Linked DNA regions of Daphnia pulex. The protein of the gene in region 1 binds, or shares a complex with, the protein of each later gene. Links are inferred from orthologs where the notes say so. Each region holds a gene or a part of one and is shown in the gene's direction. Other genes may lie near its edges.

Region 1 (5,366 bases):
TTAACATAACTCTGATGCTTTAACGTGGTTAATATGGTGTATGGGTGTCTTTCGTGCAAAAGCTTATATCGTACCATGCTGGATGAATGATGATGATGAATATATTGGGTCCGATCGAATCTACAATGAATTATTGTTCAAATGAACGGAAGGCCAACAGCTAACTTAAATTGTGGAATATCTCTTTTGAAATGAGAACAGAAGTTGACTTCAATTTTGGACCATTGTTATGATAATATCTCAACCGGCATTTCCATCCATTATTACTCCTCATATTCCTCATACTCCTCATACTACACGTAATGCTCGGCGAAATATATATATATATATATTTCATTTGGTTGAAGCACTACGTTATTAGCCTTTAGTGAATGTTGTGATAGCAGAAAATTTTAATCCAATAAATACGTTATGAAGGAATGGAAAGAAATGACGGTGTTTTCAAATCATTAATTTTTCTTAGACGCAGTAAAAAATAATCCTATTAACGCTGTACAACTTCTATACTGAACTCAATTAAATTTATGGCAAAAAATACACTGTGCAATGAAAGAGAATTTTGAAGTGGTTTACTCGTCTTGCTATCTTCTAGTTCAAATATCGGTTTGATTGTCTGATGACGGAAAATATTACATTGTTTAACGGATGGCCGGAGGAGGCTTTCTTCATGATTTACTGTGAACCATTTCCTAGAGCGCCAATCGCCTTTACATTGTAACAGGTAGATCACTTTAACCTTGACAACAAAGGTGAAGCACCTTCAAATTTCCTTCCATTGTTTTGGCATCTAGCGCTAAACCACTATGAAATTAATTATGCGCAACAGAAAAAGCTTGAGAAAAAGTTAAAATCATATTGGGCATCGGAAAACCATTAAAATTTTGTGGAATTAAGCATTGATATATTTTTGAAAGCAAATATTTTTTTCTAGAAAAAATAACTGTATTCCTATAACAATATAACTGTTTTTATGCCTTACACTGCCTTACATGAAGATTTTTTCCTAGACCTACCCACAGGCATACAAATCTCTCAACACCCATGGCCTACCTAAATATTGTTTTTAATTATTACTAATTAAATTTAATTTTTAAATCAGACTTTTGAAGTAGGCAAATTCTTTTAATTTGACAACAATTTTATTATTTTCAAGATTTTTTTCTTTAAAGACATGACCATGCCATCTATGAACGGCAAAATAAACTATTGAAGTAGTTTCGACTTTTTCCAAAGTGGCACCACTGGAATTGCTTTCGTTTTTGCCGCCATTTAACAAAGCAGCACGCTCAAAAGTCTCTGCTAACCGAATCTATTGCTTGACAGGTTCCAGCCGGTTCATCATTAGTAAAGGACTTGATTGACTAACGATGGCAGATAAAGATGGAGGTATCTGTTGAAATCATTCTTTGTTATTGGATGACAGTGAAATTTAATCCAATCTTTTTTAGAGCCCTTTGATGAAGCAGTGGAAGAACGCGTCATCAACGAGGAATACAAAATTTGGAAGAAAAATACTCCATTTTTGTATGATTTGGTTATGACACATGCTCTGGAATGGCCTTCACTTACAGCTCAATGGCTTCCTGATGTTACAAGGTAAATTACTGAGAACAAAGGTGTTTTATTGTTTCTTTCTAACTGTTGAATGTTTCTTTTCTCCGTTAGGCCTGAAGGCAAAGACTACTCAGTGCATCGTCTCATCCTTGGTACTCACACTAGCGATGAACAAAATCACCTCTTGATTGCATCTGTCCAGCTTCCTAATGAGGATGCTCAGTTTGATGCTTCACATTATGACAATGATAAAGGAGGTAGTCATTTAACTTGATCAAATCTGTTGCACTATTGTTTTAATGCTTCATCTCTATCAGAGTTTGGAGGCTTTGGATCAGTGAGTGGTAAGATTGAAATTGAGATCAAGATCAACCATGAAGGAGAAGTCAACAGGGCTCGCTACATGCCCCAGAATCCTTGTGTGATTGCCACTAAAACACCTTCATCTGACGTCTTGGTCTTTGACTACACAAAACATCCTTCTCGCCCTGATCCTAGTGGAGAGTGCCACCCTGATTTACGGTGAGTCATTTTTTATTCAAATGATTTCTTATGACCTAAACTTGTTACTCACAACTACATTATCTTTTTTTAGTCTGAGAGGACACCAGAAGGAAGGTTACGGTTTGTCTTGGAATCCAAACCTTAATGGTCACTTGCTGTCAGCATCTGATGACCACACCATTTGCTTGTGGGATATTAACGCATCGCCGAGAGAGAATCGTGTTCTCGACGCCAAAACCGTATTCACTGGCCACACAGCAGTTGTAGAAGATGTCGCTTGGCACTTGCTTCACGAGTCCTTGTTTGGTTCCGTTGCCGATGATCAGAAGCTTATGATTTGGGATACTCGCAGCAATAACACCAGCCGGCCCTCCCATACCGTGGATGCTCATACGGCTGAAGTGAACTGTCTGTCATTCAATCCTTACTCCGAATTTATTTTAGCTACCGGATCTGCAGACAAAGTATTCATTTAATATTAAAATCTACTATTTATTCTACTCAACTAAACATGTCTCCAAATTGTATTTCTAGACTGTAGCTCTTTGGGATTTGAGAAATCTTAAACTCAAATTACATTCGTTCGAGTCGCACAAGGATGAAATCTTTCAAGTCCAATGGTCACCGCATAATGAGACTATTTTGGCTTCGTCTGGCACCGACCGACGCTTGCATGTCTGGGACTTGTCCAAAATTGGAGAAGAACAATCCACCGAAGATGCCGAAGATGGCCCTCCAGAATTGTTGGTAAGTTGAAATATTGATGCGATTGTTTGATTCGGATGCTGTTTAATTATTGAATTCTCAACAGTTCATTCACGGTGGTCATACGGCCAAGATCTCTGATTTCTCCTGGAACCCGAATGAGCCCTGGGTCATCTGCTCCGTCTCTGAGGATAACATCATGCAAGTTTGGCAAATGGCTGAAAATATTTACAACGACGAGGAGCCTGAGACGCCAGCCTCAGAACTGGAAACCCCTACTAATTAATGCATTTCCAGTGTATCGCCCTATACCCTATTTCTCATCGTTTGATTCTTTACTGTCCCACGTACACGCTCATCTTTTTTTTAACATTCAAATCTTCGAATTTGGCCCTTACATCGCTTGGAGATCCAAGTTTGTGTATTCAATAAATAGCTTTCCGCGATTTGGTTCAATTTGAATTATTCTAATTACTGCCGTTAATTAGGTTACTAGTCCATTTGCAGTCCATTAAGTGGGTTGTGATGAAATTTCAATAAATGGTTGAAAGACGCTCTTATTCAGAACAAAATTCGACTCTTGATCGCCTGACCCTATGACGCAATCATTAGATTTCGAAAGCTAAATAACAGTAAATTGCCTAATTCCCGACTGTTCTAATTATTCGTGATTTTGTATTTGTACATGTTCGACTGTTTTCTTTGAACTCGGATTTCTAATCTGTGATGTTTGGATTTAGAAGCCAACAGCATATCCGTCTTGACCGTGAATCAACATTGTTCGGCTCACACTGGCCCGCCAGCAAGCAGCAGGTAAACATCTATCGTCTTCAGCTGGGTGTGGGCATCATGCGGCAGTAAAAAAGTTCCTCTCCTACCCGTGAATAAGTGTAGAGGACCGATGTTATTTATTATTCAACCTTGAAAACGCAATTAAAGCGCTTGAGGTTGAGCATGACGAAGACTCCAGCAGCATCCTCAACACCGTGTTCGGCCAAGGTCCGTCTGGATGGTTGGACCCCGTATTGGGATTGAGAAAACGCCAACATTTGTTATGTTTATGGATCGCGAAATGTGAAAATCGATTCCACATTTTCATAATGTTTTTGTTTGTTTGTTTTTTTCGCTTTTTTGTCAGTTGAAATATGCCTTGCAAAAACGTGACGCATCGGTTTTTCAAGGGCAGTTACCCAAACGCCCAAAACAAAGGCGCGCAATATTTTTTTCCAATATCCGCAAACGACTGAAATAAAATTCATTGAAAATACCGGCATCGTTAATCTCTTCTGATTTTCAATTTTAAAAAATCGATTTTGTATTTTTTTGTTTCAATGAAACCTCATCATAAAATTATTTTTACGCATTGAAAAGCCACGGGTTGCTTAACTGTTAATAAAGGTATTTACCGAATTTTCCAGACAATACATTGTATAATTAATTTCGGTTTTAGTCTCTAACACGGAAATTGCGTTTCAAGTCGGTGCTGGGCCTATCGGTGCTGGTTGTCAAGTCACTTTCCTGACTGAATAGATCCATTAATCACCTAATCGAAAGAGCGCTGGCCATCGTTGAGATATGCATTTTCGGTTGGAGGAAGCCAACATCAAAGAGATGGATGATGCTTATTTTCAATCGGGGTATACAAGTAAAATAACTCACGACAGAGCTGTTTACCCGATCTTTGGCCTTGCGGGACCTTGATCGAGCGCGTTGACGCGTGGTGTTACGTACGGCTCGCGGTGCTGTACTGGGACTTGGTCTCTTAACCCCAGGGTTTAATTTCCACTTTCAAGGTTGAATCATAATAAACACGAATTTCGTTTTTTCCCTCCCCAAAAAAGCTGCATGTGGCATTCATGGATGCCCATTTCCAGCCGAATCAACCTTTCGCGCTCAGCGGGGAGGCAGCAATAACAGCTCAGCTCGACCTCCGAAGCGGGCGTGACGCGGCCACAAAGAACGAGACGGATTGCAGCAGCACGTTGAAAAATCTGTGAAGCAAGTGGCTGGACGATCGTGCCTTTCGATAGCATTCGAGAAGCAGGAATATTTTTCTTCTTCTTCTTCAGCATGCTGGAATTGATTATATCCAGCGCTATAAGAAACGAGAAGGGTAGGGTCTCGAAGAGTTGACCTGCGTGAAACAATTACGCCCCACTGAGGAGAGTCTACCACCACCACACTCGTATCTTCTCTATCCTCCCCTCCAAAAAACAAGCAGCGGGGTTCTTTGTTGGCACATCGGTTACTAACCCAGTGCTAGGAGCGTTCTTTTTTGTTATCACGTTATACAAGGTGCGCAAGGCGTGAATTTCTTGTCTTAGTGTATAAAAGATACGCGCAGCTCGTCGTTGTGGATTAGACCGCCGGTGTTTGTCATCCGAAGAACACACGCCAGGACAAAAACATCAAACATCACAATGGCAAAGAACCTTAGTGCGCTGATGCTGCTGGCTGCTGTACTGACAGTCGAAATACCGTCCTTCGTTTTGGGCCAGATTGTAATTCCCGGTGATTGTCCCAAATACCCAACGCAGCCCAGCTTTAATCCAGCTCAGGTATAATATTAATTTTGTAATTTCTACCGTGTGTTGTGGTCGTTA
Region 2 (5,823 bases), on another chromosome or scaffold:
AGCAAGATTGAAATCCATCTAACATATTTAGACGTCTCTGATTCTACTAAGGCAACAACCCCTGATGACCCTACTGATATTTATTCTGGGTTAATGTAAAATAGCAAGGGGAATTCTATTTTCCAACAAAAAGAAGGTTGAGCTCACTCGGTTTCTTGAAGCTAAGCCAATATACAATCTTTTCTTGATTACTTCCAAAATATAAAAAACTTGTTTTGGAAATTTAATGATAGCATTGCATCTTACGCTGTAACGGAAAGATTTTTTTCTTTGTTTGGGCGTGTGTTAACTTCTACTAGAACACTTCTTAGTGATACGATTTTAATTTTCTTGTTTTTCTTAAGTCAAATATCTGTCCTTTTTCTACAATAACTTAAATTAAATAAGTCATAATAATTGGGCATCATCTGGCAAACCGACCCCTTCAAAATCCGTTTCCCCTTGTCGAGAAAAACCACCGCAAGGGGATTTCGAACAAAGACTAGAGGGGAACCCTCCCCTTGGATCGGTTTTGGATTCGAAGGGGTGGGGAAACGACTTGAAATGACCGCTGAAATGTAGGAATTGATTCAAAAGCGGATTGACTTTGAATCAATACAAATGTCTTTCATGCAACAATAAAATAAAGAAACGCGTAGTCCCATGAGGCCCGTATGATGCTGGGGCGACGGGTTTTTTGGGGGAGCAGAAGCATGACAGAAGTAGGTGCGTGGTTGGTCTCAGCAGGCCCGTGGTTAGGGTATAGGGGGACAACACTTACCAGGACGCAGCCAAACAGACGAATTTCCCGTAGGGATTCTGTAGGGGAGACCGGACCCATGTTGGACACTGTTCCAAGTTGGACAGTGTCTTAAAATATAGTAAAAATTGCTTTAAAATTCTAGATTTCACATTGTTCTAGATGTGATGATGCTAGATCCTGTGTAGTTTAATTAATTTCCCGAGAGTAGAACGGGAGTTATAGGAGGAAGAAAAAACACGATAAATTATTGCAAAATTTTTCGCCCGAATTATTGATCTTGCTCCAAGTTTGTTTGAGTAAAAAAATTTTTAAACAAATGTTTTTAAATTATTTATTATTGGAAGAACTATCATACAAGGTTTTTAAAATAATTTAAAGACATTAATTTCCACCTTTTCGAACCCCGTCTAACTTGGTACAGGCCCCTGTCTAATTTCACCCCGGCTCGGTAAAAAACACCGAAAAATGGAAATCAATGTAAATTCTTAAATTTTAAAGTTACACATTTTAAAAAAATCAAGGGGGTGGAGGCAAGGCTAAAAAATGACCTTAGCCAAAAAAAAATTCTTTTGCCTAAGGGGATCGGGAGATATGCGGGAAAAACCGCGACTGTCCAAGAGGGGTCCGGTCTCCCCTACAGGTTTTTTGGCATACGGGAGGATTAGTTCCAATTTCGCCAATAGATGGCTTCGATTACTTTTTCGACAGTAGATGGTGGGTCGGTCGAATTTCACCAATTTTAACTGCGCGCGTTGAAACTGGCATCTAGGCTCTAGCGACTAAAAGTAAACTGTCATCTGCCTCTTTCTCTTCTTCTTCTAGATTTTTTTATATCTTCCCGTCCATCGATGACTGGAAAGAGATTCAGCTCTTTTCAGACCGACCAGGAAAGAATAACATCTGTAATAGCCTACATCAGCCAAAAATTTTTATTTTTATTTTTTGTCCGCTTGGCGCAACCTAAGACTGGTGGCTTTTTCAAATCTTATTTAGAAAAGAAACCAAAACGAAGATTTCGACATTTTTCCCCCTGCCCCTTCTCGGAAGACGAATTCGACTGCGCTGCTCCTTCCGGCGAGCCCATCTCCTTATCTCTGAAAACGTCTAACGGAGTTGATAGATCGTTAGATCTCCAGCTTAATGGCTCTGGTTTCTAGTTCCATACTCCTTAGTCCCTAACCTAATCCCTAATTTCTAAATTTATTATTTACTAGAATATGTTTATTTCAAATACCTTCGTATTTGGAAATTGATAATATAAGATTTAAAAAATATAACTGCGTAATTTTTTCATTTTGAAAATCACTTGTTTCGTGTGGGTTTTCCAAAAAAATCAAATTCCAATATATTTATTAAACATTATGTTTCCCAGAAGGGTTCCGACTTCTGAAAACTGATTATTACATATTCAATCCTATCAACAACATTCATGGAAAAATTGCTTCTTGCAATTAGTTTGACGTGATACTTTACCTTGACTCCTCCACCAGGGCAACAGATAATTATCCATTACTCTGCCTCCACTTATTATCATCATTTTTATAGTTTTGTAAGGACTCGACTCGAATCGAAGGAGATTCGAGATTTTTTGAGAGCTGGCAAATATGTTTCCTCAAATTCGCGTTTGAGGCTTTGGGCTATCGTAGTTAGTTTGTAGATTTGGCAACACTGTAAATGTAAGCATTCGCATTCGACGCAGCGAAAGCAATTGATGCTGGTGTCTTTTCTTTTCAGTGTAACTGTCGAAAAGTAAAAATAATTTTAATAAAGAATTGTGATTTTCAATTTCGAAAATGACTACTCAACCAAGTCACAGCAGAAAGCGAGTTTGCTACTATTATGACAGTAAGTTAGAAAAATAATTGTATCATGTATAATTAACGTTTCATGTCGCGTGTTTGACTGCCGGCGTCCTTTTTTAAATTAATTATTTCAGTGGTCATATTCTATTTATTTTATAAATTCCCAAAGATACTTGATTTTTGCTAAATTTATATACCTATCTATTGTGACATTTTGATGTACAAAATTTATGTGGAAGTAACAATATTTGGCAAGTGGGACGTCATTTATGCACAGTAGTATCACAAAGAATTATAGATGTTTGAAGACTGAAGAGCACATAGTATTAAAAAAGAAAGATATGTGGCTATATTATCATTTAAATTGGGTTTTATTTTTGAATTGCTTCAAAATTTTATTAAGATTTTCATGTCAAATTTGTCGATGAGGTTGTCGGGGGTATAATTGACGTCCTACTTGGTGGGTGGGTTGGCATTTTTATGGTGACTTTTCATTTTAACTCTTAAATTTGTAATTCCTTTTTTTATTAACCTAGGTGACATCGGGAATTTTTATTATGGACAGGTAATAATATTGAACACATTTATGTTAATGAAACTGTAATTAATAATAAATTTTTGAAATTGAAGGGACATCCCATGAAACCTCATCGCATACGCATGACCCACAACTTGCTCTTGAATTATGGGCTATACCGTAAAATGGAAATCTATGTAAAAATTCAAGAAGCTAGATGATAATTGCCACAGTTTAATTGAATTTATTTTTTGTTAGCGACCACACAAAGCCACAGCTGAAGAAATGACCAAGTTCCACAGTGATGATTACATTCGATTTCTTCGAAGCATCAGACCTGACAATATGACAGAATACAATAAACAGATGCAGAGATGTAAGATGTGTTTACAATTTGATCAATTTGAAATTGTGAATTAATTTATTTGTTTGTTTTTTAGTTAATGTGGGTGAAGACTGTCCTGTTTTTGATGGGCTCTACGAATTTTGTCAATTATCTGCTGGAGGTTCTGTAGCTGGAGCTGTGAAGCTCAACAAGCAAGCAACTGAGATAGCTGTGAACTGGGCTGGGGGATTACATCATGCCAAAAAGTCTGAGGCATCAGGATTCTGCTATGTAAATGAATAACTTAATAACAGTTTTTGGATATAACTTACTAACTAATGTTCATCTCTTTCCATATTTTAGGTAAATGACATAGTGTTGGCAATTTTAGAGCTTCTGAAATACCACCAACGTGTTTTGTATATTGACATTGATATTCATCATGGTGATGGAGTGGAAGAAGCCTTTTACACTACTGATCGTGTAATGACTGTTTCATTTCACAAATATGGAGAATATTTTCCTGGAACTGGAGATCTCAGAGTAAGAAGTTTTGAACTAAATTTTGAATAAGAAACTGTTATTTATCCTTTTGTTGTAGGACATTGGTGCAGGCAAAGGAAAATATTATGCCGTAAATTTCCCCCTGAGAGATGGAATAGATGATGAAAGCTATGAGCAAATCTTCGTACCTATCATGTCAAAAGTGATGGAAACTTATCAGCCGAGTGCAGTGGTTCTCCAATGCGGTGCCGATAGTTTGTCTGGTGATCGTTTGGGATGCTTTAATCTTACTTTGAAAGGTATGTGTTCGGAACTATTGTTTTTAGTATACATGTTATTATCAAGTTGTCTTTAGGTCACGCAAAATGTGTTGATTTTGTTAAGAAACATAATCTGCCTTTACTGCTGCTTGGAGGTGGTGGTTACACTATTCGAAATGTTGCCCGTTGTTGGACTTACGAGACCGCAGTGGCACTGGGAAATGACATTGCAAATGAACTCCCTTACAACGATTATTTTGAATATTTTGGTCCCGATTTTAAATTGCACATTAGTCCGTCTAACATGGCAAATCAAAATACTCCGGAATATTTAGATAAAATCAAGTAAGTTTTTAGTGTTTTATTCAAAGAATTATATGTTGAGTGACATGTTTTTCTTAGAACTCGTCTTTTCGAAAACCTCCGCATGTTACCTCATGCTCCTGGAGTCCAAATGCAAGGTACTTGCATTAAATTTAATTCTTCAATTGTATTTATTATTTCATTGCATTGCGTTTAACTGATCCAAAATTATTCTGACAGCAATTCCCGAGGATGCCATTAACGAAGATTCCGACGAAGAAGATAAATCTAATCCCGATGAACGTATATCTATACGAGCATCAGATAAAAGGATTGCACCAGACAATGAATACAGTGATTCCGAAGATGAAGGGGATTCCCGCCGAGATCAAAGGTCTGAATTCATTAATAAATCGTGCAATTTTTCATTTTTTCAATCATTATTCTCTACTATATAGATCATTTAAAGGAGCAAATCGCAAAAGACCAAGAACCGAAACAGCTGAGGGTGCTGCAGAGGTCAAAAAGGAAGAAAAGGAGGACAAAGAAGTGAATGGCGAGAATAAGGAAGGTACTTCAAAAGAGACTGTAAAGGATTCGGACAAGAAAAATGAGACAACACTGAAGTCTAGTGGTGAATCTTCTAGTGAAGGTAGTGCTTTGTCCATGGCGAATGAAATAAAAGGTTAGTGTTCACGTAATCGTGGTTATCTCAGATTTCTTACCAATTATATGTATTTTCAGAACCCGAAGAAGATAAATCTACATCGCATGAATTAAGCTCCCCTGTTCCGGTTTGCGCCGATAGCAGTAAAGGAGAAAAAGTTTGAAAATACCAATTAGGGTTTTATTTCATTTTCGCTAATTTTACACTGATGGTGATTCTTCGAGATTCATTCACATCCAATTTTCTACGTGTATCTTAATTAGAATGTAAACTCCGGCTCCTATCACCAACTGCATACCCTCAATCGGGTTCTCAGTCTTCAATACATTTTTACTAAGTTTTTCATTTTAGTTTGGTCTTTTTTCTACATCCTAAGATACGCACTTCACTTATGTTGAGTGCATACTTTAAAACTGGAATACTGATTCAACAACATGTAGCGTAACAGAAGCTTTAATAGGCAAGAAGCGTTTATTTTTAAGAATGATTTTGTAGGGAGAATCAGCGATCAGTAAGCCCAACCTAGTTGGTGGAACGTTGGAATACCGTAGGAAAAGTTTGAGGTTTTACTAGGATTAAGGTTGAAGTTAATAAATATTAAATACTTGAATTGGGATAGTGCATATTTTAATTTCAAAACTATGATAAATTTTACTATTCTGGTGTTAGGTTACATAGGTTAGATTACATATGTTAGGTTACA
Region 3 (5,839 bases), on another chromosome or scaffold:
AAATGTTGGTCATTTGCTACTAGTGGAATGCGTTGGGTGGCTCAAGATGAGATAGTAATTCTATTGGAACAAGACTCAGTCGCCACAACTGATGAAAGCGTAGGAGAAGAACTACTACCCCCCGCCGATATATTTTACCACTTGTTTTCGATTTACGAAGAAGCTATGAACAAGCATCACGTCATTATTAACCTTGGACATACAGTTACTCCTGGGACATTTCTTGGTATTAACTTTTATTATTTTACCTTTCTGTTTTCATTCCAATATTTTGTAACATACATGTAATTTACCAGGTTCAACGGAACACGGTGGATTCTTGTTCTTCCGTACAAGTTTTCAGTGTGTACAGCAGTTACTTTTACCAACTCCTCCTTATCTTGTGGCAGTATTACTACAACGTTGGGAGATTCCTTGGGCTAAAGTGTTTCCATTACGACTTTTGTTGCGGCTGGGTGCGGAGTTCCGCTATTATCCTTGTCCGCTATTCAGCGTCCGCAAACGCAAATCAGTTTTCGGCGAAGTTGGGCATACTATCGTCAATCTTTTGGCTGTAATTACTTCGTGCAATTTCCAAATATTTCTATTACTAACTGTTTGTTTTCTCTTCCCTCCATTCCAGGACATGAGGAACTTTAGCTACAGCTTACCGGCGGTGGCCGGCCTTGTTGTACACATGGAAGAAAAAGAAACTAACATTCTTTTACCGAAATCTCGTTATCAGCAAGTGTGTAAAGCACTAGCCCAGTCTAACGATCATGTCATTTCACTTGCAGCATCGTTCAGTCCTCAAGCAGATGCTCATCTCGTTTGTCTTCAATTGGATGATGGATCTTATCAAACTCAAGCGATTAACATCCACACACGGCCACGAAAAGGTTAGTTATTCGGTATTTTATAATATAATTAAAAGAATTACTGATTTTTTTCTTCCCTTGCGTAGTTACTGGAGCAAGTTTCTTAGTATTAAATGGTGCTTTGAAAAGCTCCAGTGGTATAAGTGGTCGCTCTTCGATTGTTGAAGATGGAGTTATGGTACAACTCCTTCCAGATATGCTCAGTAATCTAAAACAAGCACTAATTCGAATGGAGAATTACACTATCCAATGCGGGAAAATAATCGATGATCAACCGGAAGAAACGGTTACACTTAAATGGGTAGATCAAGAACCATCTCCTGTTAATCTAGGGTAATTTATCAATGCATATTGTTTGAAAATTTTGTAAATTAACAATTGCTTGTTTGATAAAGAGTTCAATCTCCTATCGATGGTCGAAGCTTCACTGGGATATCATCGATTCGAGTGATGCAGCCGCGTGACTTTAAAGGCGAGGGTCATAGACTTTTGCGTTGGACAGAACTTTTTGTTATTCAAATAGAGGACAGTGCACGCTCTTCCTCTAATAGAATTGAGGATAATGGAGACATCACACGTTTCGCTGAAACTTTGGCCAAAGCTGCATCAGTGGCTCTGGCCGCCAAACTCGCAAGCCTCGAGCCTCACACTTTGATTGGGCTACGTGTTTCTTTGGACGGAGATTCGGTAAATTAGATTATACCTTTTTCTCTTAAAATATCAAATCATCCACCATGTTCGGCTTTGTCTAGGTGGAATATCAAGCAGGAGCCGGACAAACCTCCCTGCCGAATGCATGTGTCGAGGAACTGGATTCATCGCTAATCCCAATCTTACATCGAGAATCTTCAGGTCAAGGAGTTCCCTGTATAGTGGAACTTTGGTTTCAAGTCGTTCATCCGTAAATGGCGATTTCTTTGGCTGATGCTGATGCGACAGCTGTAACCGAAATGTGATTTGGCTTTGTAATATTTGTATAACAATGAAGTAGTGGCTTTTCTTATTGCTGCTATCCAAAAATTTTGTTACTCTGTTGTTATCACAAAGGTTCTATATACTGGTTGCCATTCCCCTCTTCCTTATCTTTTGAGAGAAAACATTTTCCCTCGTCTAAATACCAATAAACTTCGGTTAGTCATCTTATCTTTCCATTTGTTCGAAAAGTTATACTTCCTAACAATTTTTGAAATTAATATTTAATGATTTTAGTCATGTTAGCGTTTCCTTAACGCGAGCGCAAATTAGAAAACAAAATCATCGCACCTAATCTCATTTTCAAGATGAAAAAACCCATTGAAATAGACATTTTATCAATTTCAAATGCAGAATATAAGATGAGTTCATACAAAGATAAGTAAAAACGAGTGCATAGATGCAGTATTATATTTTGTCTAGTTTTATTTTTATCTTAGCTGTTGCCAATCGTAATCAGCTCCGCCATCTGTTATTAAACTTTTGAATTGCGTAAAGCCAGCCAATCAGAAAGCTTAAACAATGCGAACCAATAGGCGACGCTCCTCATCCCCAAGCTTGGGCGCCATTTTTTTTCAAAAAAGGGGAAGGGTACTGACAACAAGGCTTCCCGCCTCATGGAACTCCAATGGCCGCCATTCCCTAGTAGTCGCTCAAAACATACAGCTGCGGTGTGTCCGCTTTCTGAAAACAGTGCTAAGTAATTGAAACGAAACAGTAGTGTCGTGAGATTCTGTGGATTTGTTTACAATCATCTCACCATGGTGAGGTAAAACATCACTCATTTACCCGACCCGTTGCCAACTACGATTCAATACTCAAGGTAAAACGTGAAATCTCTATCTAGCATGCCTTGTTTCCCTCCACAAGTGGTGGGGACGATTATAGCAACAAAGCAGACTTTTCGAGTTGTGCGTTTGGCCCAGTCTGGACAGAGTTTTCGCTTTCTTTTGATGCTAGTTTTCTCTTAGGACAAAGAAATTTTCGAAAAGTTGTATTGCAATTTCAGAAAAATAAGTCAAGTCTGTTGTCGACTTTCTGGCGATTTTTTTACTTAAGCAGGTATACCCTTTTTTATGTTTAAATTCTCAGGAGAGCTGAAAAGGTCTTAGTCTCGCCTGGACAAAGAGTTTTACCTCTTTTAATCCAAACCGATAGAAGAATATGGTTTCAATTGTCTTGTCTGCAGGTAGAAAAAAAAACTTTAAAAAAATCGGTGTTTGGGAGTCAAAGATAACCGAGATAAGAACAAAGCCGGTTTTTTTTCTGTGAAGTGATTCTTATTATCTTGAAATCTTTAATTCAATTTCAAAAGTTATCGTTTCCCCAATGGAAAGTAACTCTTATTCCGACAGTCCATTTCATTTCCTAATTTCTTCGAAATTGGTAAACATTTCTGAAGCAAGTTTTGGTTTCAGCATTTTGTTTCCAAAAATGGAAAGTCGGGCCTCTCTCCATTGGTCATTAGCATTTCTTCGAGACGTCTACGTTTGTTCGTCGTTTTCCATTGTCCTTCTGGCACGGGTCTTTCATTATTACCGAAAAGCACATCTATCACTTTGATCTTAATAGGGAATTCGCTTCATGTTGGTGCTGACCACCTGCCCGATAATTGTGTTAGACCTGGTTTCCCCTCCACTAGAGTGAAGGCTGATTTGTATAGGGGGGTGACAGCAGCTGCTTGATGGCTAAACACAGGCGCGCCCGTATACGGCATTGTCTTTATTTAGTTCCGGGCAAGTTGGGGGGTACCATCGACAAGCTTTAAGTTTGATTCACTGTGTAGTCCCAGCAAAAGAGGTCAAGAGAGCACAGAACAAGCGACGCCGTCTATTTTTTTATATACGAGGGGTAAATATGGACGTCGAGATGGCATCAAAATAAAAGTTGCTCTCTTATGTTGGAACACAAGGGTTTTTTGCTTGCAGAGAGAGGGGAGATTGTGTTGGAATCGAGCGAGGGGGGCTGAATTCAGAAGAGAGGGGCAGCAGCTGTAGCAGATGTTCAATGCCGGCGTGCATACAGCGTCGTAGTGGTAGACTTCCTCTTTTTCTTTCACTCATGGCCGATTATGAAAGACCTTGTGCCTGTCCCACGGTTATCGATCCGTCCCCCTGGCTTTCTCTCTTGAGAGATTCTTCGAGGTTCTAGATCGCGCCACCCACCATAGGGAAACATTCCTTTTATCAGGCAAAGAAATGTGAGATCGAATAAGAGCGACGAGGGTGAATTTGGAGACGGAAGAAAATATTCCGTCTTTGCAGTGGAGCCCAGTCGTCTACTGTTTTTTTTCTTCTTCTATTATTCCTCTACTTCGGTCTTTTTACAGTACAGAGCTAATGTATTCTGAGTCATGTCGCCGGATAATCTCCCTTGCAACCATGTGCACACAAGAGCGTGAAGAACTTTCTTTTCCATTTGCAATCCATTCATTGTCCAAAACCCTACCGTAGGAATTTGAATGGGCGAACTGGAGCCATTGTCAACGCATACCTGTACCGTAAGACGTGAAATAATAACCCAGAAAATTGTGTGATTTTTTAGACCTGCCAAGTAGACGAGATGAACGACTTTGGAATGGACGCTGATAGCAACAGTTGGGGCTCGGATTATGGCGAGGACTTTGGATCGGATATTTCAGATGGTGAATATCAGCCGAACGGCGCCGCCACTGCCTCCAGCAGCGCCCAACACCACCAAGCGAGTTCAACAGCCACCTCCCGGGTTGCTACAAAAACCAAAGGAGGTGCCCAAGCCAGAAAAATGGTGAACCGCGGGAGATGGACCAAGGACGAAGTGAGTTTGCCTCCCCCGCCCACTACCTACCCCTTCAACTTTCAGCCCCAAGTCTTGTAGAGTTAATGATTTTCTTGCCCTTTTTGTAGGATGAAAAACTTAAAGGAGTTGTGGAACGCACCGGTGAAATTTGGGAGAACGTAGCCTCCTTCTTTGAAGATCGATCGGACGTTCAATGCCAACACCGATGGACAAAAGTCGTCAATCCTCAGCTGGTTAAGGGACCTTGGACCAAAGAGGTAAAATTTGTTTATACCTTTGTTTGTGTCTTTATTTTATTTTCCTTCTTTTCTTCTTGAAAATTCCGTGACTGATTCAATGAAAGCCTTATTTCCGGTTCATGTGTCGAGCATTTCCGCTTGACGATTACCTTGCCATTAAAAGAAAGTGTCCTCTCAAGATCGTACGGCCTGATAATTACCTTGAATGTTTTATGCTGTGTTGTATGGAGCAGAAACGATGTCATCACAAAGAAAACGTGAAGAATGGAGGGAACTTGCGGCAAATAGAGAGGATGCCGGATGCCAGAGGGGGGAAAGGAGGGAGTTTGAAGAGGGGAGAGAGAGCAAAGTTTAAAACAGGAAACCAAATTCTATGGCTTGGTGAAACAGCAGGGAATGTCCAAATTGAAAGAAGAAAAGGGCCGCAAGGGTTTAAGGCGGCTGGGTGAGGAATGAAGAAACGTGAAATTATAGTCTCAAGTGATGTGAATTTGGCCCTTCCACCAAATCTAATAATGGTCGGATTTTCAGTTGCTTTTCAATTGTAAACGTCCAGAATTGGTCTTTTTAAAAGTAAAGAGCCCGGATTATTCTCGTGTTCACACTTCTCACACAGATATGTGAGAAGATGCCTCTAAAAAAATCCCTTCAAGTTTATGTTTTCCTCTTTCTCACCTATCTTCTCCCCATCCCCCAAAGCCCACCTCACCCCAAAAGTGGACATGAATAGAATATAGAAATGCTATGCTGTCAAAGTTTTGAGTTGAATCATCATCCTTTTTTTTATCACAGGAGGACGACTTGGTGGTCCAACTGGTACATCGCTATGGTCCAAAGAAGTGGACGCAGATTGCTAAGCATCTGAATGGCCGGATAGGTAAACAATGCCGAGAACGATGGCACAACCATCTCGATCCTAACATCAACAAGTCACCCTGGACGGAGGAAGAAGACCGGCTGCTAGCCAATGCTCATGAACAATACGGAAATCAA
Region 4 (5,842 bases), on another chromosome or scaffold:
CAGTGTCTCCTCCACATCACCACTCTAGCCCAAGTCCCAGCAGCAGCCGAATTCCGCAACAACAACAACAACAGCAACAACAGCCGGAATCGGTTTCTTCAGTTGGAGGCGATTCACAACCGTTGAATTTGTCGCTCAAGTCGCCCTCGTCGTCGCCGGCCAGGCCAACGACGCCAGTCACGCAACACAACAACACTCACTATTTCCCCCTTCACGCCTAAAAATGATTGACGAAGAGTTTCTCTCACCGTACCTGTGGATTGTGTGTGTATGTGTGTGTGTGTGTGTGTGTTGGATGGGGTGAGGAGGAGGAGGCATGGGGGTGATGGGGCAACTATTAAGCGTAAGAGGATCCCATTTTTTGGTTGCATCGTCAGCCGTGTTTTTGATTCGATCCCTTTCAACAACTACAACAACAACAACAGCAGCAAACAACCAACACCCTTTAAAAAAAAAAATTCTTGTACAGAATAAGAAACTGTAAACTAGTTCTTCGTTATCACCAGCATCAGTGTCGATTATTCTACTCGGTCTTTATATAATTATCTATCCCCCCCCCCACACTCCCGACCGAATCTTATATATATATATATACATAGTATATACACTTGAGTTTGATGTTCTACATGATATGATCCATTTTCCTCGTTCAAATTGAAAGGAAAAACAAAAAAAAAACTCGAATCGCGGAATTTGCCTCGCTGTTAAACAGTCCCATTTCGAAATTGGCGCGCGCGCATTTCTTTTAAATTTTTCAAAAACTTTCTTTGCGGGAACATTATTTTTTCATTTGCTGTGTTTAGCCGGTGGCGTCCAAGACGCATTTTCTCTGTGCTGTATTTTTTATTTTGAATCCCGACAACAAGGAAAGAGAATGTTTGTTAAATTAAATCGCCCACTATTTCGACGAGGTTATTTCCTTCTTCGTAAAAATTTAGAGAGAAGCCCTCTATCAAGAAATTGTCCGTGTATCGTTTGTCGTCACACCTGCTCGACCTAAAAAAATTTGTTTAAAATATTTTCAATTTTTTTTTTCATTTAAAAATTAATTTCCCGTACAACTCCCGTACGAGCATGTGACGGTCGATCTCGACATGATTTTTTCTTTTTTCGTTTCATAATTTTAAATTTGTCCCCTTAAACAAACAAAAACAAAAAAAAAAAGAAAACAATTTCGTATGCTTTTGTGATTTTTACGACGGACAACCCATTTCCTGTGAACGACAGAGTGAGAGAGAGTGATGGAAGGGTTTGAAAACATTTGGGCAGGAGCTCCTTCCATGTTTACCGTGTGTGAGTGTGGCAATCGTATTGATGATTGTTTTATCCCAGTGGAAGACACACCTTTTTCTTCGTATGTTTTACACCCCCTATCTTTATATATATTATATATATATATATATATATATTATTACAACAAAAAAATCTAATAGTGTGTCAATTTTTGTGTTTCTGTCAACATTTCGGGGGTCTCTTTTTCGGATTGGTTGAGGGGAGGGCAAAAAAACAAAAACCGAGTGATGGATAAAACTTTTTTCTTTTGTCAAGTTTCCCTTTTTCTAAATTGTAACTTGTGTCCATGAGTTGCAATGCACTCGGAATTTCTGTACTTTTTTATTTCGGTTTTTGTGTTTTTCTGTGGGAATTATGGAAACAAAAGTGATTTTCTCTCTCTGTCGTTTACTTTCAAAATTCTGTTTTTCAATTGTTGCGTGTTTCGGTTTTCTATTTGCAAATTCTTTTTCTGTTGATCGAAAGAAATTGTCATCCTCCCTACCCTCCATATATAATTCTATAACGGAATGCCTGTGTAATGTGTGTGTATCTGCGGAAAAAATTTCAAAACTGTACGTGCCGTGTGTTCTCTAATGACCGGTTAATGTAGCGCATTTCACGTGCGCAATCTAGACATTACAATTATGCAAGAATGTCAAATCGAGTTTTTGTTTCATTTATTTTTATTTACAAAATGAATTCTATTATACACCCATCGTCGGTATACATTCCAACAAACGGTCAACGGTTATTTTCGAAATTTCAAAAATAAAAGTTTCAAATTTGACCGCTAGATGGCTGTCGTTGGAGCAACAACAACGATAAGGTACTTGGGTTTTCGTGACACACAAAATCAATCGCAATAAAAGGTGTTAATCGAAAGCCTCAACCAAAACAACCTTAACCCACATTGATCACTTTTGCACAACTAAATTTGTTTCCCGGTCCAAAAATCTCTCGATGGAATGGTACGAAAAAACTAGGACTCTATTGATGTACACGTAGGAGCAGCAGCACCTATTCAATGTCAAATAAAGTTATACATGTTACTATTCATTTGAAAAATTCCCCCCGATTACAAAAATAAAAACGGCACGTGTCTCGACTTTTCACCCCAGTTCCATCTGGGTAGTTAGTTACAACCAAACGGTCGTCCAGTCTGTACGGTTTAGAAAATCTTTCCTGGCCACCACCAGCTATATTATTTTTCCACTGGACTCGTGCGTTTTTGTTCAAGACCCGGTTATCTTATCTGACTAGAGAGAGTCAGTTAATAAACTACAAGCAAAAAGGCGCGGTAAAATAACTTGCAAGACGCACACAATCTACGGAGAGAGGAAATGCCAAAGGAAGGAAAACGGGCGGTGCAGCAGCAGCGGCCATTTCTCACGCTCACATCTTTGGAGAAACGCAACTCGTGTTGTTGAGAGATCCGTCTGCTGCCCAGGGTGACACGTCTACAACACACACACACCAAACGGCTGTGTGGGTAGGTTTTTGAAGGTCGTATAATAACTAACTCATTCTCCTACAACTCCCCAATTTCTCCGTATGTATCCTTTCTCTTCTTTCCACTCCTCCCCTTCCTTTTCCTTGAGGGGGTCGAAAATTACAACCCACCACCACCCGTACAACAGCAGCAGCCCAATCCCTAAGGCTTCTTTTAAAATATCTTTTCTTCCTTGGTTGGCGTGTGTATGTTGAAATGGCGTGCATAGTCGAAAAACGACTAGGGGGATAGAGTGTGTTATAAGAAACTTGTTGTCTATTCTACTTGTCGAGTTCTAATCTTGTGCCCGTCAACTTGTTGTGTTTTTTTTCGTTGCTCTTCATTTCTCCGTTTGGTCGCCAGGTTGTCGAGGTACATCGTCGAGTTGGCAAGTTTGTGAGCTGCTGCCAAGAATTTTTCAACGGCAAAAATGACAGTGTCGAAATTGTTTATTTCCTACACTTGAGCTTCACGAACAAAATTTATTTTGTTTTGTTTCAAAAAAGTGTCGGCCAAACGAAATTGTTTTGTTTTTCGTTGTTGTTGTTGTTGTTTGGCCGCATCATGGCGCCCCAAGAAGTGAAATTTATGGAGAATCGGTTGGGTGGTGTTGCACTGGTCATTGATGGATGCAAGTATCGAATCAATCGACGCTCAGGCAATACGGTTTATTGGCGGTGTTTCTATCGTTGGTGTCGGGCCAACGCCGTGGTGGAAGACGGAAAATTGAAATCGTCGTGCGGCAGTCACATTTGCTCGCAGCCGCACAACAACATCCAAAACGGCGGCGCCTCTGCCAAATCGGGACGCCACCGCCAGTCGTCGGATCATCAGCAGACGCCAACAGTCACTCAGCAGCAGACGGTTGCGGTTCATCAGCGACCGGCTACTTCTTCGTCTGTCCAGCCAGGCAGTCTCAGAGGAGCAGCTTCTCTCGCCTCAAAAATGGCCACGCGTGCAGCTCAAGGATCAACTACTCACACGTTAACACGAAATGCCAACAAGGGCAAAGTGGCACTCAGATCTCAGAAACCTCCGACCAACAATAACATGGTCATCCGAAGGAAATCCAAGGCCAATGAAGAGGATATCAAACCCACCAACGTTACAGTGCAACCGTCAACTACTACTGATTCGCCACAATGTGTTCCAGATTCGCCACCTAATAATCAGGTACGTTGATTGGAAAACGGTTTGATGTTTTGGTTGCTGATGGAATCATATTACCTATTTTTACATCATTAACGCGGGGCATTTTTTTCTTTTGGGAACAAAGAAATCCCGCGCTATTTCGTGGGAAATTTCTTTTTCACTTCCCTTTCGAAGCGGGGTTGCCATTTGAATTTTTGTTGTCAGACAAATAGTCATCCGGCTCTCGTTATTTTACGACAAAATGGTGTGATAACTAGTAATTTGGACGGAGATTGGTAATAAAGAATGTTCACCGACGATCTGTCGTTATTTCGGCCGTATATCGTTCACCGGAAAGTGGCAATGTTGTTCCAGCTGTCAACTATCTTCACGCGTGACAGTTGGGAAACAAGTGTTGACGAATCCCCCCATTTTATGTTATTTTATAATTGTTATTGATGGAAAACGTGACCACCGATACACCTGATTTTGCTATTCCCGTAACGTGATCTGGTTTCCTTAGACATCCGTTTCATACAAATTTAACATCTTGTTTATCTCCACAGAATGAAGCACCCAAGTACAAGATTTCGGCCGAATGGAAACGGCGTGTGAGATCCGAGTATATGCGAATTCGCCAGTCTCGGAGGTATAAACGAGCTGATGAGATTCGTGCTGTATGGTCCGAAAACAGAAAGAACGTTAATGGTATACATGGCATTTTCAAAGTTTGAGGTAGAACACATGTGTAATAAATCTTCCTTAATCCTTATACACAGAGAGGGTGGCTGCCAACCAAAAGAAATGGGAAGTGAGCAAAGCATTCTGGGCATGCAGCCAAGATTGGCCAGCGCACAGTCAGTGCATGAAGAAAGTCAAACCTGACCACTGCCTGGGTGTCAACACCGATCAGAAAGCAGTACCTGTTAAGATCATCAATGCAGTAGCACCTGTCCCCACCATGTATTCATGGGCTGGTCTCCAACAGAACTTTATGGTATGAAACTGAAATGTTCTTTTCCTATTGTTTTTATGGAAACTAGCATATACACATCTACAGGTGGAGGATGAAACAGTTCTACACAACATCCCTTACATGGGTGATGAAGTGTTGGACCAGGATGGTACGTTTATAGAAGAATTGATCAAGAACTACGATGGAAAAGTTCACGGAGATCGCGAAGGGGGCGTCATCGATGACGATATCTTTGTGGAACTAGTCACTGCCTTAGTCCCCTATTGTGATGAAGATGAAAGGTCTGATTTGGGTTCGAAATCCGTCAAAGCTGAGAAGCTGGACGAAGCAGCACGTGATGCCATGACAAGTATCAAAGACAAACCACCCAAGGACTCTGTCCAGCCCGTAGCGAAGGATCTACCCAACATCATTGCTTTTCAAGCAATCGCCTCTGTCTTCCTAGACAAAGGAACCCCAGAAGAATTGAGAGAAAGGTATATCCAGATAAACAAAAATACAAAGTAATGATAATAAAACAACATCTTTTCATACAGGTACATGGAATTGACGGAACGAGCTGATCCTGTCGCTCTGGGTAGCGAGTGCACTCCAAATATTGACGGCCCGAAGGCTCCCTCCGTCCAGAGGGAGCAAGCCATGCACTCATTTCACACCCTGTTTTGTCGCCGATGTTTTAAATACGACTGTTTTCTTCATCGTAAGTTTGCCTGCTTCGTTACAAGTAATATCCTTCATTAGATTTGAACGTTTCTTTACACGTTTTCTTTACTTAATTCTCACTCAACTTTCCGACGCTATCTTCTTCTCTAAAGAAACTCAAGGAGCGGTGCCTCGTCGAGGTAAATTGCTGTTTGTTTCACCACTTTTAGTTTGTCTTTTTTTTTTTAACTTGTCGTGAGAGAGAAATGACTGACCTGTTTTTAATTATAGGTCTACAATCATATCATCCTGGTCCCAACAGTCAAAAG

The links. The genes of interacting proteins can lie anywhere in the genome.
Region 2: chromatin assembly factor 1 p55 subunit (region 1) and histone deacetylase 1-like share a complex: the UniProt entries of both Drosophila melanogaster proteins name them as parts of the DREAM complex. The link is inferred for Daphnia pulex from reciprocal best matches to the Drosophila melanogaster genes Caf1-55 and HDAC1.
Region 3: chromatin assembly factor 1 p55 subunit (region 1) and myb-related protein A-like share a complex: the UniProt entries of both Drosophila melanogaster proteins name them as parts of the DREAM complex. The link is inferred for Daphnia pulex from reciprocal best matches to the Drosophila melanogaster genes Caf1-55 and Myb.
Region 4: chromatin assembly factor 1 p55 subunit (region 1) and histone-lysine N-methyltransferase EZH2-like share a complex: the UniProt entries of both Drosophila melanogaster proteins name them as parts of the polycomb repressive complex. The link is inferred for Daphnia pulex from reciprocal best matches to the Drosophila melanogaster genes Caf1-55 and E(z).

What each region holds. Positions count from the first base shown.
Region 1 is NC_060023.1:6,454,525-6,459,890, reverse strand, and holds chromatin assembly factor 1 p55 subunit, read left to right. Parts: upstream 1-1,229; 5' UTR 1,230-1,367; coding exon 1,368-1,386; intron 1,387-1,448; coding exon 1,449-1,596; intron 1,597-1,665; coding exon 1,666-1,811; intron 1,812-1,871; coding exon 1,872-2,076; intron 2,077-2,149; coding exon 2,150-2,522; intron 2,523-2,592; coding exon 2,593-2,805; intron 2,806-2,869; coding exon 2,870-3,049; 3' UTR 3,050-3,209; downstream 3,210-5,366. Other genes in the region: apolipoprotein D-like, read left to right, coding at 5,184-5,321. UniProt on the Drosophila melanogaster protein: Core histone-binding subunit that may target chromatin assembly factors, chromatin remodeling factors and histone deacetylases to their histone substrates in a manner that is regulated by nucleosomal DNA.
Region 2 is NC_060024.1:1,148,613-1,154,435, forward strand, and holds histone deacetylase 1-like, read left to right. Parts: upstream 1-2,395; 5' UTR 2,396-2,535; coding exon 2,536-2,587; intron 2,588-3,080; coding exon 3,081-3,109; intron 3,110-3,174; coding exon 3,175-3,258; intron 3,259-3,319; coding exon 3,320-3,437; intron 3,438-3,501; coding exon 3,502-3,677; intron 3,678-3,749; coding exon 3,750-3,929; intron 3,930-3,987; coding exon 3,988-4,189; intron 4,190-4,245; coding exon 4,246-4,495; intron 4,496-4,552; coding exon 4,553-4,611; intron 4,612-4,693; coding exon 4,694-4,847; intron 4,848-4,911; coding exon 4,912-5,138; intron 5,139-5,197; coding exon 5,198-5,283; 3' UTR 5,284-5,465; downstream 5,466-5,823. UniProt on the Drosophila melanogaster protein: Catalyzes the deacetylation of lysine residues on the N-terminal part of the core histones (H2A, H2B, H3 and H4).
Region 3 is NC_060022.1:6,348,633-6,354,471, forward strand, and holds the start of myb-related protein A-like, read left to right. Parts: upstream 1-2,411; 5' UTR 2,412-2,652; intron 2,653-2,732; exon of another isoform or gene 2,733-2,891; intron 2,892-4,373; 5' UTR 4,374-4,391; coding exon 4,392-4,625; intron 4,626-4,714; coding exon 4,715-4,864; intron 4,865-5,638; coding exon 5,639-5,839. Other genes in the region: zinc finger FYVE domain-containing protein 9-like, read left to right, coding at 1-226, 297-878, 944-1,190, 1,253-1,544, 1,610-1,762. UniProt on the Drosophila melanogaster protein: DNA-binding protein that specifically recognizes the sequence 5'-YAAC[GT]G-3'. Component of the DREAM complex, a multiprotein complex that can both act as a transcription activator or repressor depending on the context.
Region 4 is NC_060018.1:4,495,121-4,500,962, reverse strand, and holds the start of histone-lysine N-methyltransferase EZH2-like, read left to right. Parts: upstream 1-2,414; 5' UTR 2,415-2,764; exon of another isoform or gene 2,765-3,127; 5' UTR 3,128-3,328; coding exon 3,329-3,937; intron 3,938-4,102; exon of another isoform or gene 4,103-4,353; coding exon of another isoform or gene 4,354-4,395; intron 4,396-4,458; coding exon of another isoform or gene 4,459-4,461; coding exon 4,462-4,603; intron 4,604-4,674; coding exon 4,675-4,892; intron 4,893-4,955; coding exon 4,956-5,347; intron 5,348-5,407; coding exon 5,408-5,571; intron 5,572-5,686; coding exon 5,687-5,713; intron 5,714-5,804; coding exon 5,805-5,842. Other genes in the region: ecdysone-inducible protein E75-like, read left to right, coding at 1-221. UniProt on the Drosophila melanogaster protein: Polycomb group (PcG) protein. Catalytic subunit of the Esc/E(z) complex, which methylates 'Lys-9' and 'Lys-27' of histone H3, leading to transcriptional repression of the affected target gene.